Tamandua tetradactyla: one gene and its partners. The protein of the gene in region 2 interacts with the protein of the main gene of each other region in a pairwise test. Links are inferred from orthologs where the notes say so. Each region holds a gene or a part of one and is shown on either strand. Other genes may lie near its edges.

What was found.
Region 1: the proteins of SS18L1 (region 2) and MAPK1IP1L interact in binary tests that used the Homo sapiens proteins (3 or more experiments, as listed by UniProt). The two-hybrid records come from large-scale screens. The link is inferred for Tamandua tetradactyla from reciprocal best matches to the Homo sapiens genes SS18L1 and MAPK1IP1L.
Region 3: the proteins of SS18L1 (region 2) and RFX6 interact in binary tests that used the Homo sapiens proteins (3 or more experiments, as listed by UniProt). The two-hybrid records come from large-scale screens. The link is inferred for Tamandua tetradactyla from reciprocal best matches to the Homo sapiens genes SS18L1 and RFX6.

Annotation. Positions count from the first base shown.
Region 1 is NC_135338.1:11,053,398-11,061,098, forward strand, and holds the start of MAPK1IP1L (MAPK-interacting and spindle-stabilizing protein-like), read right to left. Parts: upstream 3,015-7,701; 5' UTR 2,847-3,014; intron 2,529-2,846; exon of another isoform or gene 1-2,528.
Region 2 is NC_135327.1:59,721,297-59,728,836, forward strand, and holds the start of SS18L1 (calcium-responsive transactivator), read left to right. Parts: upstream 1-4,518; 5' UTR 4,519-4,649; coding exon 4,650-4,718; intron 4,719-4,882; exon of another isoform or gene 4,883-4,939; intron 4,940-5,064; exon of another isoform or gene 5,065-7,540. Other genes in the region: PSMA7 (proteasome subunit alpha type-7), read right to left, coding at 366-490, 1,370-1,496, 3,948-4,043. UniProt on the Homo sapiens protein: Transcriptional activator which is required for calcium-dependent dendritic growth and branching in cortical neurons. Recruits CREB-binding protein (CREBBP) to nuclear bodies.
Region 3 is NC_135331.1:177,780,476-177,787,423, reverse strand, and holds the start of RFX6 (DNA-binding protein RFX6), read right to left. Parts: upstream 3,015-6,948; coding exon 2,792-3,014; intron 2,499-2,791; coding exon 2,342-2,498; intron 1-2,341. UniProt on the Homo sapiens protein: Transcription factor required to direct islet cell differentiation during endocrine pancreas development. Specifically required for the differentiation of 4 of the 5 islet cell types and for the production of insulin.

The sequences.
Region 1 (7,701 bases), on a different chromosome or scaffold from region 2:
AAATGTAAAAATACCTAGATTTCAACCAAAATATATGAATTATACTACTTATTAAAATGAGGACAATGTAACATTGAATGCCATCAAAAAGTTATAATAATAAAAGGTTTTCACTTCTCTTTCCTTTGGAAAAACCTAAACGCAATGCTTGGAAAATTTTCCATCACTACTTACGAAAGGATCTATACATCATCCAAGAAAATGAGCAGCAATAGTAATTTTACAAGAACACATTTCTTTTGACATACACTAGAAAAGTAAAGCATAACATTTCTATGAACTTCTAAACCAGAAACCATCTCCTCATCTGTTACAATTATCCCCAACTACCTCACAGATAATTACAGTAACACTTGATTTATAAAGTGCTATACTCATATAAGATATTAAGAGAAACTAAAGGAAGCTGGATAGGATTTTCATGTTGATTTGTTTAGTATTGGGGGAGGGTGATGGCAATGTATTGTTTTGAAAATTACAAATTTTGAGGTAGAATATATGATACTTTTCAAACTAGTTCATTTATTAGCTATGTTCTGTTTCTGACTTTTGGAAACTCAAGAAATTGGGGTTTTGAGATGTTCTGCACATTCAAATTTACTTTAAAACGTGTAATTTCAAAAATTCAATCTTTCAGTAATCTTATGTTAGATATACGTAATACATATATTCAGATATGTATGGAGCTATATGGGCTAGTCATGGTGTTGGGCTCTAAAATTAGTATTACATGAAGCAAAGGCTTAATGCTACCATAAAACGCAGCTACATTACCTAAGCACAGGGTGCTATGGGACTACCTCCAAGAGGACCCTAAAGGAATCAAGAAAGGGGATGTCAGGAAGGACTCCTGAGGAGCGGTGCCTTCACAGTCTAGAAGAAAAATGAGGATAGATCTAGGGGCAAATTCTAAGGAAAAGAGGGCAATTTCTTTCAAAAGATGGGAGAGAGGCAAGAAGGCAGCTGTGGGGAAGTACAAACAGCTCAGATTGGTCGGAATATAGCAAAGGAGAGAAGGGATCTGAAACTCTTAGCAGACAGGAGACCTTAGATCAGGATGTGACTCCTCTTTGGTCACTTAAGAGTCAACTCATCTGAATGAATCTGCTTCTTCAACTCTGAAGAATATATTAATAATGTTGTGAGAGATTAAGCGTGACATGTCAAATATCTACTATGTACCTGGAAAAAATGGGTGGGCCACGAATACCAAATTCTCTTACCTTCATTTGTAAATGGGCAGATGAGCATTTGGTTAAAAAAATGAATACTGAAAGAATACCCGCCTAGGCTCAAAGTGCAGCTCTTCACTGGCTGGCTCTGAACCTTGGACAAATGAAACTGTCCAAACCCCACAGGTTAAAAAGAAAATACGAACAGTATCTACCTCACAGAGGAGCTGGAAGACTTATACAATAAGTAAATCTCTGACTCGTCTGGCACATAGCAAAAATTCAACAAATACTAGCTTTTATAATTACTATTACAGGGTTCTTATCTTTCAATCTCCAAACCTTTGAAAACAAAAGAAACTGTGCCAATTTTCGCACAAAACTTACTTGGAGGCAAAACCTGAACTGAGGCTATTTGTAGTTCCTATTAATTCCCACTTAAATGAGTGGATATTCACACCTCCACAAATAAAAGTTGGATGTTTGGGTGCTGCGACTCACGCGGGGGACGGGGGGTATTATCAGCTGTTTAAGCACCAGACTGTATTTCTAAAATCTAAAGGAAAAATCCAAAGATTTCTAAATTCCAAAACACACTGGCCCCAAGGGTTTCAGATAGAAAACTAGGGACAGCTATCATCCGTTTCTCCAGGAGAGATGTCAGAAACAGTCCCATCTATGCATCTCAATTCAAAAGTTTCTGGGGGCAAATTAGTTTTGAATAGGGGGATCCGAGACACCAGTATCAACGAAAATCTGTATTTTCCCTTCCTCCAAAACACTTCTGAACTATTTCTGAGGTAACAGTCCACCTGCAATAAGGCTCTGTTTTCAAAACAGGCCTGTACAACTACTAGGTGCACAAATGTGTATTTCTCTAATAGTAATGCTATAAAAAATAATTTCCAGTCAAGTGGGCCTGGACGGACGGGTCAACGTCAGAATCTTTATTAAAAGCACTATTGTTGGTTTCTAAAGTATAGAGAAAAAAGATTAAGCTATTTATGAACCGCAATACCTAATATATACCCCAAGATCCAAAAAAAAGAAAAGAAAGCATTACAGAACTCGGCACGTCTCGTATTTCCTGTCACGGGTATCCAAAATTGAACGCATTGTCCCCAACTCGTCTAGAGAATAATCAAAACGCTGTCACCCTGACAATCACCTCAAAAAAGCATCAGACTCCTCTAAGTATCTAATTCAGGGCTTCCTCCCTTTTTATCAGAAATTAATCAGCAGGGGCGGGGGGTCTGCGCCAAGGGGCGCGAGGCCTACAGTCCTCCGGGGCCGAAGAAACAAAGGGAATGCGGGACCAACCGGAGCGAACCGGCCTCCGAGCGGGTCGCGCCCGCCCCGGCGGGTGGGGGAGGGGAGTAGGCCCCGCCCCCACCCGGCCTGACGTCAAGCGCCGAGAAACCCGCCGGGCGTGACGTCACCGCCTTGGATGCCTCGGACGCCTTCTCCTTGGGTGGGCGATGGGGGGTGGTGGCGGCCAATCTGGGGCCCGCAAGGAGGTGACCGAGAGAAACGCTCACCTCCCAGGGAGGTGAGCACGGCCCAAGCACCGGAGGAGACTCGAGGCACCGCCGTTACTGAGCCCGCCCTCCAGCCCTTCAACGTAATCTTTCCGGGCCCGCTCCGCGACTCCCACCAGCGCCACAGCAGCCTCACCCGGCAAGATCCAATCCGTAGCAAGGTCTAGAAGCGGCGATGGGTACGAAGGAACTGAAGGCTGACGAACCAAACGCAACCTGACGGGCGGCGGCGGCAGAAGCGGCAGCAGCAGCGGCAGAGGCAGCGGCGGCAGAGGCAGCGACGGCGGCAGCAGCGACGGCAGCGCGCGGCTCCTCCTGGCGCCGGAACAGGAAGCGCCTAGCGTGCCTCCCCCGCGCGCTCCCGCCCCTCCCCTCGCGGCTGGTCCGGCGCGCTCCCTGCAGGCCCCGGGCAGCACTGCATCCGGTCCCGGCTGGGCGGTGCGGCTCTTCTTAGTCGGCGGGTGGAAAACTCCCATGTTTTCCAAAGTTCCTAGGACTAGGAAGAAACGCCTGTGGCCGGTGAAGTTCAGGGGAAATTGACAACTTGTTGCCTTGAGTGGCGGCTTGAGGCCAGGCCCTATTCTGCACCCCTAAGCGCAGCAGTTTTTACAACCGGGCCTCGAAGGAGGCTGTGTGTGTGTGTGTGTGTGTGTGTATGTATGTGGCCAGTTTGCTGTGTGTGTGTGTGTGTGTGTGTGTGTGTGTGTATGTGGCCAGTTTGCGCCTAGCAAAGGACTCAGACATTAGACACCCATAAGCCAAAATTGGAGTTGAATGAACAATGCAGGAAAGGAAAAACATTTACACATTTACAAATGGCTTGATAAATTGCCATTAACTAAAGGAACAGCTCTCTCTTCGCATTTTTCCTGAGCAATGCCTCTTCTCCGCACATGTTCATTTTTGAATAACCGTTAAGCACCTACTCCGTGTGAGGCCCAAAAGATAAATGACATAGTCCCAGCCGTCAGTGAGCCACAGGCTAGTAATAAAGATGTGATAATTACACGGTGTGCAAAAAATAGTTGAAGCTAGTTGTTAAAAGTATGCTGTACACTACATTATTTTGCTTGTGTAAGGCGTTTGTGGGTCAGTGGCCGGTCATTGACTATGAACTACCTAGATGAAGACTTAGCTTTGGGTGTGCTCGCAGCATATACTTCTCATACAGAAATGAGCAATAGAACATCAGATACCTAAGTCTTGGAAAGACATAACTTTGGATAGGAGTACAGGGCTCTGGTCTATTGACAATCACACCACTAGTGTGGATAAACCAACCCTGACTTATAAAAGGCAGTTGACCAGCAGTGCTTTGCAGAGCCCTACTGAAGCCTGAAGCAGAAGGAAATATCAGTAATCCAGATTCTGCATTTATCTAAAATGTTGATATTTTGTTCCACAGAATATTTTTTTAAAACCTCACCCTAGTTGTGGCCTCTATTAGAATGACTGACAGCCTCCAGATTTTTCCTGCTGTTTCCATTCAATAACTGAGCAGGGTTGGGGTTCTAGAGCCAGGCGATTCTTGTTCTATGTTGGATTTTCTACGGGCAAAGTTTGTTTGGAAACTAACTCCCCATATGGTTCTGAATATTCAGAATTGCACTGCAGTCTGAAGCCCACTCTACCCAATCTTTCCTTCCAGTTTTCCTTTTACAGGTGTCAGATTTGCAATGTTGTCTTTAGACTTCCCCACCTTCTCCTATTTCCTCCCCCTTTATCCTTCATGGGTGTTTCCCTCAATAAGTCTGTTGTGCATTTAATCGCATCTTGGCATCTCTTCTTGGAAGACCCAAACTGACACATGAAAAACTAAAAGGAGTGTATTGTAAATTAGAAAATTTGTGAGACTACAGAGTTTTAAATTTTTTTTTACATATTCTAAGTTGAACATGAGAGGCCATACAATGTTTTAAAAACAAAATACAAAGCCTTTGGATTTCATATATTGTTTTAATTAAGAAGAAATGAGAATTTATTCAGATCAATTTATTTAAAGTCACAGCCAAGAAGAAACATTCAACTCCAGGATTAGAAATAAAAATGAAAATAGTTTACTTTTGGGGAGGAAGGGGTGGAGAATAAATCATACAAGCCTGATTGACAAGAGTACTAATAGTTTTGTGAAGTTACTACTTAAGCTTTGTACATTCAAGTAGATATCAAATTCATACTTGGCTTATAGAGTTTATCCAATTCTGGTAAAGACAGTATTCTTTGAGTAAACCTCTGAGTTTTACACCATGTCTCTCAAGTCTGAAAGCTTAAATTTGACTACATGTATGGCAAAAATGATTATCTTTATTTCCTGCAAATGTAATCAATTTTAAAATAAGTTAGGCAAACATCAATTTTACATAGGCCTTCTAAAGTGTAGGAGGAAATTACAATTGTTCATCTAATTGCAGAGTCCAAACAGTGAATTCAAATCTGGAGTTACCTCTATTGTCAAAGCAAGCCAGGAAAGGTTATTACAAACTAAAAGATGTGACTGTGATTCTGCAGGGTCTATTAAAGGGATACTTTGAAAATCATTACATTACTACTTAAAAGCTGTACTTATTTTCAAGTATGCCCCAAGGGCCACTTCTTAACTTTAGAATTAACCTATAGAAAGCCAAGTGACAAGTATTATTACCTACATTTTCTATATAAGGAAATGAAGGCAAAGAAAGATTTAGGACTGAATAATCTACTCAAAAGTCTAAAGTAAATCAAAGATAGACTTTGGCTTTATTTAGAAAAGAATTCATATGCCCTAAATCCCTTTCCATTGGGTTATATCCATCAGTCTACATTTCTAATTAAAAGCCAATCTATTTTTAAAATTTATGTCCATTTTGTGTCTAGTATCTTAATGAATTAAAGTAGTATAGATAGACTCTTGCAGCACTGCTCAGTTTTTCTACTAGGCCATTGAACAAAAGAAAAACCCTTTGTGCTTTTGGTTCTTTTTTTAGAAATTAAAAAATGAGTGTACAATTGATTGTTAAAACAAAAATTGTTAAGTTTTTTTCCCCCCAAAGTAGAAACAATTATTTACTTGACTCAAAATCTTTAACTCATTTTGGCATTAAGTTACCTAATGCTACAGACTATTTTACATTAGAATTTTTTCCTTGTCTCCAGGAATCTTTTTTTTTTTCATGGGCAGGCACCGGAAATCGAACCCGGATCTCCAGCAGGGCAGGCGAGGCTCGAGCCACCATCGCCCGCCCTCCAGGAATAATTTTAAAGTATACTTAAAAGTATACTTTCCTGAGACATCTGCTCCACCAAAATCAATATATAAGCTGTTTATTGGACTCTGATTTATAACTAAAAGTGACAAAACTCCATTTTTTAAATGCAAATGAGTGTATTTATAAGAGTTAGGTCTTAAGGTTTTTGTTACATAGGAAGGAAGCTCTCTATTATGTGGATCGATAAAATGATCCAAACTGAAGAGAAACAGGAAGCTGATAACTTGATTTATCTTAATGGCTTTGTCTCATGAATAAATAATTTGTCTGTGTTTTTCTTATAAAAATAAATGGTATTTGTTCAATAATGTGAGCCCTACTTACCACATTTGTTCTACTTTTTAAAGGATTTCCAATTTCTAAGACATTCTTTATATTATTTATGTCAAAACTTTAACTGAAAGCAACTTTTTGACCACAGTTGGCCATTAGATGAAATTCAAGAAAGAACACAGGTTTGATCAAATCAATAAATCTAGCCACAAGCTGACTAAAAGCTTCCTTTAATCTTCTTCCTATTGGGTCTTCCTTTAAATTAAAGCTTTCCCTCTATGAATTATTTAAGTGAATGGCATGGTTATAGAAAGAGCACATTACTCTTCATACAAAAAACACAAGGAACCTAAAGAAATCCATTTAATGTATTTCAGGAATTATAGTATGAATCAAAGATGCTGTAGCTTTAAAAAAAAAAAAGTGGTGGTGGTGGTGGTGGAGAGAGGATGTCCTGAAAAGCTTCAGAGAGAAATAGAAAAGTCAAGTTTATTTCCTGATTAGTGCAGTATTATTCCCAAAGTGCAGTTAAGTGTCTGGTCCAGACTAGCTGTTAGTGATTAAGCAGTTTCCTTTCACTGTCAAGGCTTTTCCCTGAGGTAATGCTTAAATTTTTAATTTTAATATTTTATCCTGTTTCTTTTAGCACAATCCTCTCTTGCCAATAAGTACTACAGATTTCCACCATGCTGAATGTTTTCTCAACACTGGATTTTACACTTTTCAAATGTTTGCCATGTTCAACTTAATGATTTACAAAATTTATATTTAGATAAATTTGTATGTCTTCACATCTTCTCAAAACTTAGCCATTTTAGTTATCTCTCAATACTTTTTTTTAACATTTTAAAATGAGTTATGCTTTCCAAATATTTCCTCACAAAGTCGCAGAGAAAGGGTTAACCTTTCTAAATTCCAGTTCCTTACACTGTTTTAAAACATTAATTTATTGTTACTTTTTCCCTTTCCCTTCATGATAAACAATTCCCTTCTCAAGTATTGATATTTCTACTTTTCAAATTTCTTTTCACTGTAGCAGATACCAAAGGTAAAATGCAAATCATTTCAGAGTAAATATTCTGTAAATATTCTCTTCCCTGCTCTCACTTATTAGGTCAACTACTTTAAGGTTATAATTATGGCAGTATTTTAAAAATGTTAACAGCTGCTAATACGTTGAGGTTGGAAAAATAAGAATACCAAGAGAAAATATATCACTAGCAACTAGTTTGAATTATATGAAAAGCTACTTAGATCTTGACTTTCATACAAACACTATTTTTTACTATTATAAAAACAACATAATTATATTTCATTTTTCTTTATAAAACTACCCTTTAACAGAATATTTGTTAGCTAGTCTTCCTTTAGGTTTTTCTGTACTAATAAAAAGTTATGTTTAAAAGAAAAATACTTAAAATTATAATTGTTTCACAGAAACAGAAAGTCTTATTATCAAATCCTGATAAAAAC
Region 2 (7,540 bases):
TAATGAAGGACAGATGTTCCCTATCTGGTTACAATGGTTTTAGGGACCAACTGCATATTACCACAGAATGAAGGGGCTTCTAGTCCCCTCCCAAGTGCTTGGTTGTCAGCCATACAGAATGGCAAGGCAAAAGCAAAAACTATTATTTTCCTTCAGAAACACAGATTGTGACTGCCCCATACCACTAAAATAACAAAGATGCCACAGAAGACTAGGTTATAGTAAATTCTAGGTGTACAATGAAAGAACAGAACCAAACCCTGGGACAAACGCAGTCTTGTTTTCTTACACACGTAAACATCTCATGAAGTAACGTGGGACCCTTTCCATGAAAGGAAGCTGCACTGAGGCAGGTTGGCACCTACCTGCTTCAGGCTGGCAATATAGCGGGTGATATACTCCACCGTGACTGGGTCCTCCACGGTTAGCCGGTGGCTCTGGCACTCAACCCGTGCCCTGTTGATTACTATCCTGGCGTCGGCGGTGAGCCCTGCCATGACAGGGAAGCAGGGTTTCCATCCTTGCCACACACCACCCGCTCCCGTGATACAGATGACACAAGCAGGATAGCAATTAACCTTTGGCAAAGATGCCAAAACCTGCCTCTGAAACCCACGGGGTCCTGTGGAGTAGCCAACAGCAGAGAAATCTGGGCATATAAAAACAAGGGTGGAGCAGACCCCATTTAGACACACTAGCTGAGCCCTCTTAAGAATCCTTTGAAAGACAAACTAATCCCTAATTTGGTTTACATGAACTGGAACCCCCCTAAAATGGATCTGCTCAGGATGAAATAAGTTAATCCACACCAAGTGCTTAGAACATTCCAGCACAGGGCAAATGGTCAATGCATACCATCCTGCTGCTGCTGCTCATAATGGCAGGACACCATCCTCTCCATTTGACCCTTTAATAGGAGCATTCTTCGCTCTAGAAAGCCTGACCCTTCTCTTGAGCATAACTAAATGGAATGGGAAAATCACAGTGAAGTGCTAAAAATAAACAGTGATTGTGACAGCCCAGCAGCTATGCTCTGTTATTTATTTAGTGACTTGTGCTTTAGCCACTTGAGAGAGGGGCCCAAAGAAATTCTGGCCAGCTCTTTTTACAGTTCCAAATAATTTCTTTTCTTTTTTATTCAGGGCCGGGGGGGAGGCAGTGGGGATGCCTGGTCCAGGAATTGAACCCAAGTCTCCTGCATGGAAAGTGAGCATTCTTCCACGTAACCATCCGTGTACCCTCCAAATAATTTCTTTTAAATGTTTTCAGCTTCCCCCGTCTTGTAATAACCCATCCACCCAAGCTGGACTCCACTGCTCTGCTCTGTGCTAGGACTCTAAGAAGCAGAATACTGTTCCCAGACACATACCTGCAAATGCCATGCAGACGTTGTCATCTAGCGCACAGATCTTCCGCACCGTTCTCTCATCCTGCAGTTTGGCCACTGATTTCTTCTCCACACCAAGAACAACGATATCTTTTCCTCGAACACCAACCTTCAATGAGAGCCAACACACCACTTAAGAAAGCAACATAAGGCTCTGCCCCTACACAAAGAAACACTAAGAGCAGAAGACATTAACATAGATCACAGACATCCTGGGGAAAGCAGCCCCAGAAGGTGGGGGAGCACCTCCCTCCTCCATTGGCTGACATTACACCCCAAATGTCACTGGTGGAACCAGCACAGGTATCCTGACCTAAAGTGCCTGATGCTGTCTGTGCCTTTAAAAGACCATTATGTAGTTCCAATGGCAGCATAACTAACTAAGCACCATATAATCTGTAACCCTGTATCATTTCACACTAATGAACCAGCAAAGCAGAGGGCCTTTAAGCCCCAGACCCAGATATTCAAGCCAGGTATTCTGGAAGCGGTGTTTTCTGGAGCTGTGGAGTTATTCCCCCACCCCTCTTTTCTGTGCCTGAATAGCCAAGGCACACAGCTGTGTGAGGGGCCGCTTTTCATGGAGGGATGACTGTATCAGCATTTACTGGGAGGTCAAACTCTCCCCTTTCACAGCTGACACTTTAGAGGAGACAATTGGTGTGGCCATTATTAAAAAAACAAAAAAACACCGATGGCCAGTTAACCCCTCCAGTCAAGACAGGAACAGACATGTATGGCACAGTTGGAGAAGTAAAATCCCCTCTTACTTCAGAGCATGGAGCATGGTCTCTCAGCCTCTGCAGGATGGGCATTTTAGGGCATGTAATTCTCAGTTGTGGGGCGTCCTGGGCACTGTGGGATGTCTAGCAGCACCCCTGGCTGCCACCCACAAGATGTCAGGAGCACCCCCCTCCTGAGACCTGACCACCAAAAACGTCTCCAAACGCTGCCAAATAACCTCTGCCTAAATCGCCACTGACTGAAAATGTGTTTGAGTTTCCAAGGGCTTTCTCTTGTTCTGTCTTACATGATCTTCAAAGTAATGGTGAGGGAAAGAAGCCCAGGCCCAGAGAGCTCGGTGGGTTAAGCAAAGCCACAGCTTTCACACATAGTTCTGTGAATTTTTGAAGTGTTTTCATTTCTTGAATTTTTGGTTGTCTTGAAACTCAGGCTCCAGGTCTATCTGCTGGCCTAACTCAACTTATACAGCACTGGGAGAGGAGTCGGCTGTCCCGCCCCCCATCCCCACTCCCCTTGCTGCCCCAGCAGCCAGCTGTGGCTTTGCTTGACCCACTGAAACCCCTCAAATACCAGGTGATTAAAAAAAAAAAATCTATCATGCAATCTGACCAATGAGAAAACAGACAACTATCTCAAAGACACCATGGGTGTAAACTGCAAACAGCAACACCAAGGGTACCCAACATGCGCGATAGTTCTGGCAAGAGGTACCTGCTCAGATATGAAGTGACAAGGGGTTGGATCACTGCTGAGCCTCGGACCCAGGACAGCCTGCCCTGCCACCTATGAGGACCACTGCCTCCCTCTCCTTTCCCCCGGGTGGGGAAAGACCTGTAACACTCCCCAGCTCTCTTGTTGCTCCGCCGTGCATCAGCACCCACACATACCATCCCTGCACCCCAGGTTCCCTCGGCCTGCAGAGTGCAAAGGTGAAGGCCCAAGATGGCCGTCACCGCGTCACCTCGCCGCGCTAGGGACAGTGCACCCTGACAACCAAAGATGCTAAAGAGAGACGAGAGTGACTTTGAATCCTGCACTTCTCTCGGGGACCTCTGCGGTTTCTGAAAACCACTAGTAAACATCTACAGTTTATGACCTTCAAATTAAAATTCAACGGCCCACCTTGCCGCCCCAAGCCCAAACTATAGGGAATAAACGGCCCCACACAGTGCGCGTGTTCTGCTTTTCTGTGCAAACAGAAGAAAGCGACACCGACACTTCCCCAGCGGGACAGCAGGTCACGAGGACTTCCCCAGTTTGTCTAAGGACACCGACGCCGCCGTGCCTTCCCCGGGCGCTCCGCTGATGTCACTGCGCTGACTTTAAGAGGCAATTTACCAAGAGGCTGCTCCCTAGGCGAAGGCGAGGCGGTCGACAGAGCGACTCGAGCGACGCATGCCGGGGCCCACTGAGAACACACGCTCTGCGGCCAGGGGGAAGGCGGCTCGGGGCTGGGCCGCTCGCCCGCGCCCCCGGCACTACCACAGGTCCTGCTCGGACACGCGCAGCCGGCGCCCCAAGCCTGGGCTCCGAGACACTGCGCCGCAAACGGCAACACGGAACCGCGGGCCACAGCACGGAAACGCGCGGGAACACAGCAGCCCTGGCGGCGGGGTCCAGGGCGCCCACCCCCGGGCATGACCCCAGGTCCCCCGGCCTCCCTGCTTGTTCCGGGGCGCGCACCTTCCCGACGACGACCCAGGGGCAGCCCGGCCCTCCCCGCCGCCGGCCAGCCAGCTCCACTTCCGCCCGGATCCCCGGCCTCGCGCAAGGCCCGGACCCGGGCTCCCGCCAACCCCGCCGGGTGCCGCCTCACCGCGGTCGAGCCCTTCTTGACGGCTTCCTGAGCGTACTCCACTTGGAAGAGGTGGCCGTCGGGCGAGAAGACGGTGATGGCGCGGTCGTAGCTCATGGCCGGAGGCGCGGCCGCAGCCTGGCTGACGGAGAGCTGTGGCCGCCACCGCCTCAAAAGCGCACACTCATCGCTGCGCACCGCGCGATTCCCGACGCCACTGCGCCGCCGCCGCCGCCGGCCCCCTCGCGGCCTACGCTGCTCTACGCTGGGGGCGCCCTACGCTGCTCGCGTCTTACGCTGCTAGTGCTGTACGCGGCTGGCACCTTACGCTACTGGCGCCGTACGCTGCTTTACACGGCCGGCACCCTACGCTGCTGGCGTAAGGCGGCGTGCGGCGCGCTCCCGCGCCGGGGTCGGAACAAACCACTGCGGCCCGGCCGGGGGTGGGGCAGTCAGTGACGGTGGTGGGGGCGAGGCGTGCTGGGCTGTTGTTGGGGATCGCACCGCGGGGCTCGGGCTCTGCCGTAGCCGGCGCGAGGGCCCGCGGGCCGGAGGGCCGGAGGGTGCGGAGGCGGCGTCGGGGTGGGCGAGCCCACGATGCGGCACCCCCCGCGCCCTCCCCTCCGCCCCCCCACCGACTGCGGAGAATGAGAGCCCTCGGCCGCGGAGCGCAGCCGGAGAATAAGCCCCTCATGATTAAGGCCTGAGCCCCGCGCCGTCGACATGTCCGTGGCTTTCGCGTCCGCCCGGCCGAGGGGGAAAGGGGAGGTCACACAGCAGACCATCCAGAAGGTGGGCGTGGGGCGCCCCGCAGGTGCTGGCGAGTGCGCACGAGTGCCGGGACGCGGGAGGGCGGCGGGAACAAAGCGCGGTGTGCAGCCGGGCCGCCGGGGGCACCGAGCCGTGCCCTCAGGGGCGCTTCCGGAGCCGCGCGCGCCGAGCCCGGGCCAACTTTGTTGGGGGCTGTCCGAGTGGCAGGGGCCCGAGCGACCGGCGGGGGATGCCTGGGTTGGGTGAGAGGCTGTGGGTTCCCCGCCGCCCCTCGGGGCCCCGGGGCGCGGGCTCGTCTAGTTACGCTGCCAGCCTGGATGGCGAGGACGGCGGCGGGCGCCACTCTCCGCGGCGCACACCTCAGCGGGCAGGGCGGGGACAACCCCGGGTGGTCGCGCCCCGCCCGCCTCCTCCAGGTGCCGACCCTTGGATCACCCAGGGGTGGGTCCCCCGTGAGGCCGGGCCGCCCCAGGGGCTCGATGGCTGACCCGCGAGTCGCCGGCTCTTCGTCGCAGGTCGGGCTGATTTTCAGCGCGACACCCGGGCCAGCAGCCACTCTCGCCACAGAAATGTTCAGATCTGCTTCGCATCGTTTCCCTTCTCTCTGAGTTTGGTAATGTGGTTTCTGGAGCTAGCATCACCTGCATTGGGGGACACCTTTCACCAGCACTTTGTCAACAGAAACCTTCAGTTTTGACGGTGAAACGTTGCATGTCCTACCATTTCTCTTTAGAAGGCAGGTTTAGCGGAAAACCACCGTTGAGCATTCCTGAATTTTCCTAACGTCTTGGGTAGCTTCGCTGACTTCTTTTCCACACTGTGGCTCTGTCTTCCCTGGACGATCTGCCCAGTCCTTTGAGGAAATTGTCCTTAACCTGTCACCTGCTAGGGTTCACCTTGCTCTGGTTGGTGCTGGTGTTTAATGGTTTTCCTCTTTTTTTTTTTTTTGACCTGGGTAGGCACCGGGAATCGAACCCGGGTCTCCAGCGTGACAGGTGAGAATTCTGCCCTTGAGCCACTGTCCCATGGCCCTTAATGGTTTTAATAAAGAGTCTCAACCCACTCTGAACAAGAAACAGCTGACTGGAGCAGCAGCAGAGAATTGGGTTTAGTTAAATTGTGTACCCAGTTATTGTCATAAGAGTGGTCAATCTTAACTCATTTAATTTGCAGAGGGGGGTAGTCGCTGTTACCCCAATTTATAGATGAGGAATCTGAGGCAGAGAGAGGTTAAGTGGAGCTGGGAGTTGGTTCCAAGGTCTGCTCTGACAGTGACAATGTGTCTGGCAGAGGGTCAGGCACTGGCCTCAAGGCCCTGCTAGCAGACCAGGGGCCCTTGCTTGGGCCTTAAGTGTGATGAGCTTGATCCTTATTCCTGAAGCCACCTTGGGCTCACAATCACCCAATTATTTGCACGTTGCCAAGCCAGCACTAAAGCTCTCCAAAATTTCTAGGCAGGAGTGCATTATGCAGCTATCCCTAAATGTGGTTTGATCAGAAGGAAGGAAAACCTGCTGACCCTGCATCCCAGGGCAGAGATAGCCTGCTACTTGTTGAAAATGGGTCTTCAGTTCGGGCTTCCAGCAGGCCTTACCTGGTAGGGCCAGCAGTCTATATCCTCACACCTTGGCATTTTGACAGTAAATATATGTACTCAGGTCTTTTATTGGGGGCATGTGGCAGGTGCATAGTATATACTGATGTGTGCTGTGTACACAGCATGTGCTAGAAACTCATCCCAAGGGTGTTGGGAAAAGCCAGGGGTTCCTCAGAAACCTGTGTGATGATAAAGAGGCAGGGAAATACAACTTGTTCTTAGAGCTTATCTGAGAAAGAATTCTTCTGGGCAAACTTCTACTCAATCTTCAAAGCCCCACTCACATATCCCCTCAGTCGTATGTCAGTGTATGTGGTCAATATAGGTCTTTCACACCTTGCTTAGGCTCCCAGGCAAGTTTACTGAGTTATTCTTTGCTGTACTCCCAGCCTGGCCTGGCACTTGGACAGTCAATGTCAGAATATACAGAATCTCTGACTGTGGTTCTGCCAGTGGGAGTATTTGGGGATTGATGGACATGTGGAGGGGAAGGTATTCCAGATGAGAATAACCAAAGGAGCAGACATGGGAGGTCTAGAAGTTTGAGGGAGTCTTGTGTGGCCCCATATGCGGCCAAGCACGTGGTTAAGTACAGGAGTGAGATGCAGTGCACTTTGATGAGAAACACCAAATCACAGAGGACCCCACTTTCCAGGGACACTCCACTGTCCCCTGTACCTGAGTGACTGACTCCCTGGCCAAGACCTGCCCTCCTTTGCTTTCCACCAACTCAGAACCCAAGTATCCCTGCTCTGAGGCCCCTGATGCCATGGTTATGTGGGGTTGTGAAAAGGCTTGGGTACCTGGAGGGGAGGGGGCCTGGATCTCATTGGGTTTGCAAGGTGCTTCCTGCCCCCAGGCACACGGGAACTTCTCAGTGTAAGTTATCATTACTGTTCATGGTGCAGTGGGGAGATACAGAGCAGCAGCTCTCTGGAGAACAGGGCAGAGCTGATGAGCTGGGCCAACTTGTGGTATGGGCCTGGTAGAGGGATGTGAAGCTGGAGAGGCCTGGGGCCTGGGAGCCCAGTCGGGGAGTGGTTGAACTCAGACTAGCCCTGCTCCAATGGCTCCCATTCCCGGTGAGGGATGCAAGGGTAAGAGATGGCCATCTGGCCAAGGGATGGGTAAGTAAGTGATGGGTGGATGTGTCTAGGCACGGGGTGCGTGTCTGCACAGTGGTTGGTACCTTGTGCTCTCTAGACCAGGAGTCTGCTGTCTTAAAGAACGTGGGCTAATTTGTTAG
Region 3 (6,948 bases), on a different chromosome or scaffold from region 2:
GAGCCACCGCGGCCCGCCCATGATTTTTTTTTAAAAGAACTCAACATTCTCAACACCAAGGTTGGTAAAAGCCTACATTCCTTACTTTTCTTCCCTAAAAAGTACTGAACCCCAAATAATTTGATGTAATTATTTGCAAAATACACAAAAATAATTTCACTCAAGTCTGAAATGATACTGATCTATTTCTATCACACTACCTTTTCTGCTGTGATCATTATTATAATACTTAAGGCAACCTGTACACTTAAAAGAAGGTAATTCTCTATAGTTGCCTTCAAATAGGACATATAATTTCAACTTTACATTATGAATATAATTATATGAATTTTAAATTTGAAAAATAATTATATTTAATCTGGATTTCTGCAAATGCAGTTTAAATCAATTCATTAAATATATGTGTGTATGTGTTACAATTATCTGAACAACAATCTAGAAATCAGAACCTTTAGATTTTATTTCGATCTTCTAAAAATTCAATAGGTGAATCTGGCTAAAACTTACTTATGCCCATTTTATGTGTTGTAAAATCATGATAATTATAATATGGAAACAATATAATACGGAGTACACGATCAGATTTAAAATGACGGCACCCTTTAAGATTCCTGATTTAATATATTCTCAATGTGCATAAGATAAACGCTAAAGGAAGTATTCCCTGGGCAGGTAAAACATCAGGTACTCGTCTTCTTTGGGGAAAAAATCAGTAAGACCTAAGGATTTAAAGTATAAAATCAATTTGCATTTATAAAACCAAACATCTTCTTGACAGTGAAAATGAGTTAATCAGCCATATTTTTTCATTCTGGTTTGCAGTTCTAATTGTTAACATCCCCAAAACAATTTATAATTTCAAAGGATGCAAGTATAACACTCACTTTTTTGGAGAGGGTATAGAAAATTACAGCAAAAATTACAGCATTTCATAGTTTCAAAAAGTATGAAAATCACTTTGGGAAATATTCAGTTATTTAAAAATGACATTTTTATAATATACACATAATCCCTACTTTTCACCTATATTAATATTTTTCTAGGCATTGTTTTCATCTTCAAAAAATATATATTTCTAATAAAACATCTTATTGTTCTAAGCATTGCCTATCTTCAAAAATACTAAGTAATCATAAACATGAGTAAAATTTTAAATTTGAGTTTGTCATAATTTTCTTTAAACTTAATGTATGAATATTTATAAAATAAAAACCCAAGATTGTTTCCATTTACTCAATTTGAAATAAAAAAAGGAGTGATTATTCAAAACACCTCCATAATATACCTGAAATCAAAACATTTTGCCCCAGTTATCCTAACAAAAATAGTTTTGTCCTAAATATTCGAGATGATTGGGTCAATTATTTACAGCTCTAGTGTATTCTTAGCGAGTAAACACATCAACTACAATATTTAAGCCATAGCTTTAGAGGAATACTTAAAATATTTCAAAGAGTTCAAGTACATAATCACAAAAAATCAGTGCATGTAAATTTTAATTCAATGTTTAAATAGATAAAAATAAAGTTTACTAGTTTTTGTCAATTTTTTTCTATTATCTTTTTCTAAAGTTCGTATCAGATTTGACATACAAACAGAATATTTAACTCATCAGTGAGTAAATAACACTTTTTATTGATTTGTTGATTTATTTGGGAGGAAATGTATACTCTATTTCTTCACATAATGAGGGAAATCCTTACATTATGTTGTTACTTTAGGTCTTTTTTCCCTTTTAGATCAATATTACAAAATATCCTGTACATAGAGAAAGAGCATACTGATAATCTCTTGTTTTTAAAAGATTTGCTAAAAATCCAATGCATGATATTTCTTTATAACAGCTCATATGTGACAGGTGCTATAAAATAGTTCAACATTTATTTAGTTAATAGTGATATCTAAGCTGATTTTTCTGTCTAGTTTAGATACAATGCATCTTATGATCAATACACTATTTTTAATTTGCCCTCATGAATAAAGTTAAATAAAGGTCCTCTCTCCCTTTATTTTTTTTTCAAATTATGCTTTGTGAATGAGATAACTGCCAAATAACAAACGAAAGGACCAACTGAATGAACGTTCTCATGATGAAGAAAAACCATAAAGTAATGTGGTTCGTATTTATTACAGATAATTTTCGATCAGTTACCAGAATGACTTTATACAAACAAACATATACAAGTTAGTAGGAGAAAAAAGTTTTGAATGAATTTTTCACTGGAGTTTTTAACTTCCCCAAAAGCTTCGAGGGAGAAGCAGATTAGGAAAAGCAAAGGTGCAGACACTGGCTTTTAAAGAGCAACAGGTGCACAGATGTGCCCCCGCGGGACAATCTTACCACTGCAGTGTCAGCTGAGTCTGTTTCTTTTTATCCTTCATAATCTGCGTGATGGTTTTCTTCTGAGAGAGGTGTTGATCGGCTACTTTGGTTTTGCTGTCGTGACTATCTGCATCCTCTTCTTCAGAAGAAAAGTTACCATTGCTTAAATGCATTTCTGATTGTCAGTCGAAAAGATGATGGAGAAAAGCAGAGTACGAAATCAATCAAGTACCCTTTACACATAATTTTGCGTCAGTCATGGGCAGGGGCGCAGCTATGCAAAATCCCCAATAGGTAACAATCTCTAGTTGACATTTTCCTGGGGAAATATAAAGATCTGGACAGAACATTCTGCTTATATGTATGTCTGCACTGTGTATAAGTTTATTATTGGATGCCCTGCTTAGAATACTCTCGCGTCCCAATCACTTCCCCGGGGAGGGGGTGTGTGTGTGTGAAAGCACTCACCTGATTTAACTCCTACCAGCAGCTCCGGATCTTCCTCCTTCTCCCCGCTGCCCAGCGCGCCCCCCGGCTGCGCTTCAGCCTCCAGGTACACCCTTTCCTCGGGGTAGGCGAGCAAGCCCTTACCCAGTAACTGCACACAACACTCCTCCGGCATCTCCCGGGGAACTCCGGGCGAAGGTTGCGCTTGCAGAAAGGCGTCTTCCAGCTCCGGGACCTTGGCCATCCTTCCGGCCACCGGAGACCTCTGCGCCGCCGCCAGCCGGTTCCCCGCGGAGCCCCGAGCCAGAGCCCGGGGCGGGGCGCGGCGGGGGTGGGGACCTGGGGCCACTGGGGTGGGGGAGGAGGCCGGAGGCTCCTGCGCCCAGGTGCGTCGCGGAGGAGGATCGCAGGGCAAGGCTACGGCTCGGATGGCCCTGAAGCCAGAGCGGGTGAGTGCGACCGCCTGCCACTCTCCACCCCTGTGCCGTCTCGACAGCGGCTCAACTCAGAACTCACTTCCTCACCTGCGCCCCAGTCGCGCCCAAGCAATGCAGTCCTTTTCCCCCACACCCTTACCCTCTCCTTCCTCCTCTCTTTTCTTGCTCGGCCGGAGGACACTTTTCATACCCAAGGCCAGATTATCCTAAAAGTTCTACTCTTCTTGCCCGGGGAAGCGCAGCTGAAACTCGCCCCATCGCTACTCTCGAGAAATGCAAATGATGCTCCCGAACGGGTAGCGGTGGCTGTGTGCGCACAGAACAGGGTGCAGAGTTCCGCTCCCTCTGTACGCTGAGTGGCAGGGATTTACTTATTCTCGGAATAACCTAGGGACAGATGAGGGCTCTTTTCAGTGGCTCGAGGATACATTAGAGCCGTAGTGCGGGCGGCAGAGCAGCGCTCGCGGGCGCGGAGAGCACTTCCAGGGCACACAAGGGCTCAAACTCCGGAGTCTCGCCTCTCTCGGGGTTCTGGCCCTGGGCTTGTTGGAAAAGATGCCTTTACCCCCATTTACAATATTTTGTTATTTAAACGGGTCCCTGGAAATGCCTCATCCATCTAGGGATTATGCAACGAACATTTGTTGAAATGAAATTGAAATAATTAATGTCAAGAGTCATGAACATCACTTATGCTCTCTCTAAGAAGGAGCAGTGCGTAGAGTTGGGCCGGGGTTGCCTGACTGCCACACAATCTTTCCTTCCTTCCATTCGTTGTTTCTTCAACAAATCAGCCCTGCGCTTACTCTATGCCGGGCATTCTCCAGGAAAAGCCAGGATCCAGCTTTGGTTCACATTGCCTCACCACAACTTCATCCTGTCATTCATCCTCTCTCTTGCAGCATTAGAAAGACGCTGAATGCAAATTCAGTATCAAACTAGATTACAATGAAATTTAAACTAGAAACAAAAGAGGATCTGATCCAAGGTGGTGGGTGGCTGAAAGGTAAATTATGGGGAAGAATGATACATTCTGTATTCTAAAAATACATTCTAATACATTGCTAAGGTTACCTAAGCAACCAAAATTATGGGTATATCTGAACCTCTCCAATTTTTTTTTTCCGCACCGCTTGTTGGGAAAGGCATTATTTCTCTGTCAAAAGTTTTTCCTTTACCTGGTAACTCTAGCAGTTAGGTCTGGCAGGGTCCACCCACCCATTCACACATCCAGATACCTGAGGCTGTCCAGAGAGCTCTCTCAGGACATGGGGTTAGCTATTTAATACTAAAAAGATAGCTTTAGATTCATTCTGTAAAGCCAGGCCTGGTGATTAACTGCATGATCAGTTATATGGCATAAACAGCAGGAAAATTCTGTTCAGGCAAATTACTAGGATTTTTTTTTAATGTTGTTCACTTGATACCCAGGTTGTTGTGTGTTTGTATTTGTGTGTGTTTGTGTGTGTGTATGTGTAAGCCATACAGACACTAAGTGAATATCTGGCAATTATCCAACTGCATTGGTCAATGGAAATTTAAACCAAGTTCCTTTATGTCCCCAACTGAACTTTTTGCCTTAATTTAAGTAAGTCATCTGCCTAACAAAATAGCATGTAAAGTTCTTTGTGCTTCTATTCAGAAATAGAAAATGTAAATGGGCTTATAATTATAAAAAGATTTCAACTACAAAATAAAATAAAAGCCTCAGATAAGATTAATCTACTGTGAATTTTACCAAATGTTTAAAGAGTGATTTAAAAGAGCTTTAGCTAATTTTCACAAATTTATGACATGCAGCAAAAAACGAAGAGGGAAAAAAGTCATAACCCCAAATTTCCATCTATTATTAATAAATTTAAACTCATGAGAACCGATATTTTAGAGAAGTAATAGTGAATAGTAAAGTCATAACATAGGAAAGTAGGTAAATATGGAGACTGGCCTTTGAAAATTGTGGCTCTTAACCTTTTGTGTTTTGTATTTCCTTTGAGAAATTCGTGTTAGCCATCGACTCTTTCCCTGGGCCGGGGGTGGGGGGGCGAGTTGGAAAGGCACATGAAAAACTCACGTTCAAGCAGGCAAATTTTCACATATGATTTGACAGATCCTAAGTAAAGTATCCCTGACAAAATTGTTTCTATTTTAAGAAAACAGAATAATGATTTCTGAAAGACAATTCTTGGAAGTTCCCAAATGACAATATCTTCATGACTAGAAGTATCATAATAAGGAGAAAGGAATAGGACTTTGGAGTCAGATACATTTGCACTCATTCTTTATGTGATTGCACATTTAGCCTTCTGGCCTAACTTTCCTTCTCTCTAAAATGGAAACAAGAGTACCTATCTGTAGTAGATTTCATGGGTGCTCAGTCCAGACATACCTCTTGATCCCTCTCATCTTCTGAGCACCCCTCTGTCACCATCTAAGAGCACCTCAGGTCCTTCAGAGGAGCTTCCCTTGGCTACCAGACTGCCTTTGCACATAAGCAGAAACAGTCCAAGGGCCTTGGAGTTTATATTCCTTGAGCAACCCTTAGTCAATGACTGATGATTCGGAGGAATTGAAAGCCAGGCTCTTTGTCTTCACAATGAAAATCTGGGGCATCATTTACAATCTAGAGTTCTTCTGTGGGTTCAGGCTGAATCCATCCTCCACTGGACCATTCCTGAAATCCCATCCTTGCTTGGCTTCTTCACCCTCCGTTCCTGCAATGCCTAGTCCCTCACCCATTTCCCTGGGAACACTTCCGTGAAGCATCACCCTTACACATGAATGCTTGATCAGGTTCTGTTGATATTAGACACCACCTTATTCATGATATGAGGATTAAATGAAACATCACAAAGAAGAACTTAGTATAGTACCTGGGACAGAGAAAGCCATTAATAAAATATATCCAATATTTTTACTCCAAAACTTTAGATCCCTTTTAGTTCTCAAAAACAAAGAAATAAAATTTCACTCTTTCATTGCTGAGAAACATCTTTCTCCTTGTCTGCACTATGCCTGGAATTGGTATGGTCTGGAGGAATCATATACTATGAAATTTTCTACCATGAAAGTTCATGCTTCCCCTAATTTTATTTTTATCTACCAAATGAACTTTGCTATTATAGAAAGAACTTCATAGTCTGCCTTATTTTAATAATTTTCATGTTGTTGCTACTTTCAAATAAAAGTAAATTTGGGTTATATAGCTAACAACAGAACTCCAAAATACACAAAGCAAATACTGACAGAATGGAAGGGAGAATTAGACAGTTCAACAATAATAGTTGGAAACTTCAACACCCCACTTTCAATAATGGATAGAACAACTGAATAGAGATAAAAAGGAAATAGAAGATTTATAAGTTATTTAATGGACACCAACGAACACTCCAAATAACAAAAGCAGAATATATATTCTTTTCAAGAATATATGGAACATTTTTCAGGATATATCATATATTAAGCCAAAAAAATAGGCCTCAATAAACATTAAAAGATTAATTTCATACAAAGTGTGTTCTACGATCACAATGGAATGAAATTAGATTTCAATATCAGAAGGAAATTTGGAAAACTAACAAATATGTTGAAATAGAAGAGTACAATATTAGACTACCAATGGGTCAAAGAAGAAATCACAAGAGAAATGAGAAACTACTTTGAGATGAATGAAAGTGAAAATACAATATACCAAACTTTATGGGATGCAATGAAAGCAGTGCTCAGAAGGAAATTTATAGTTGC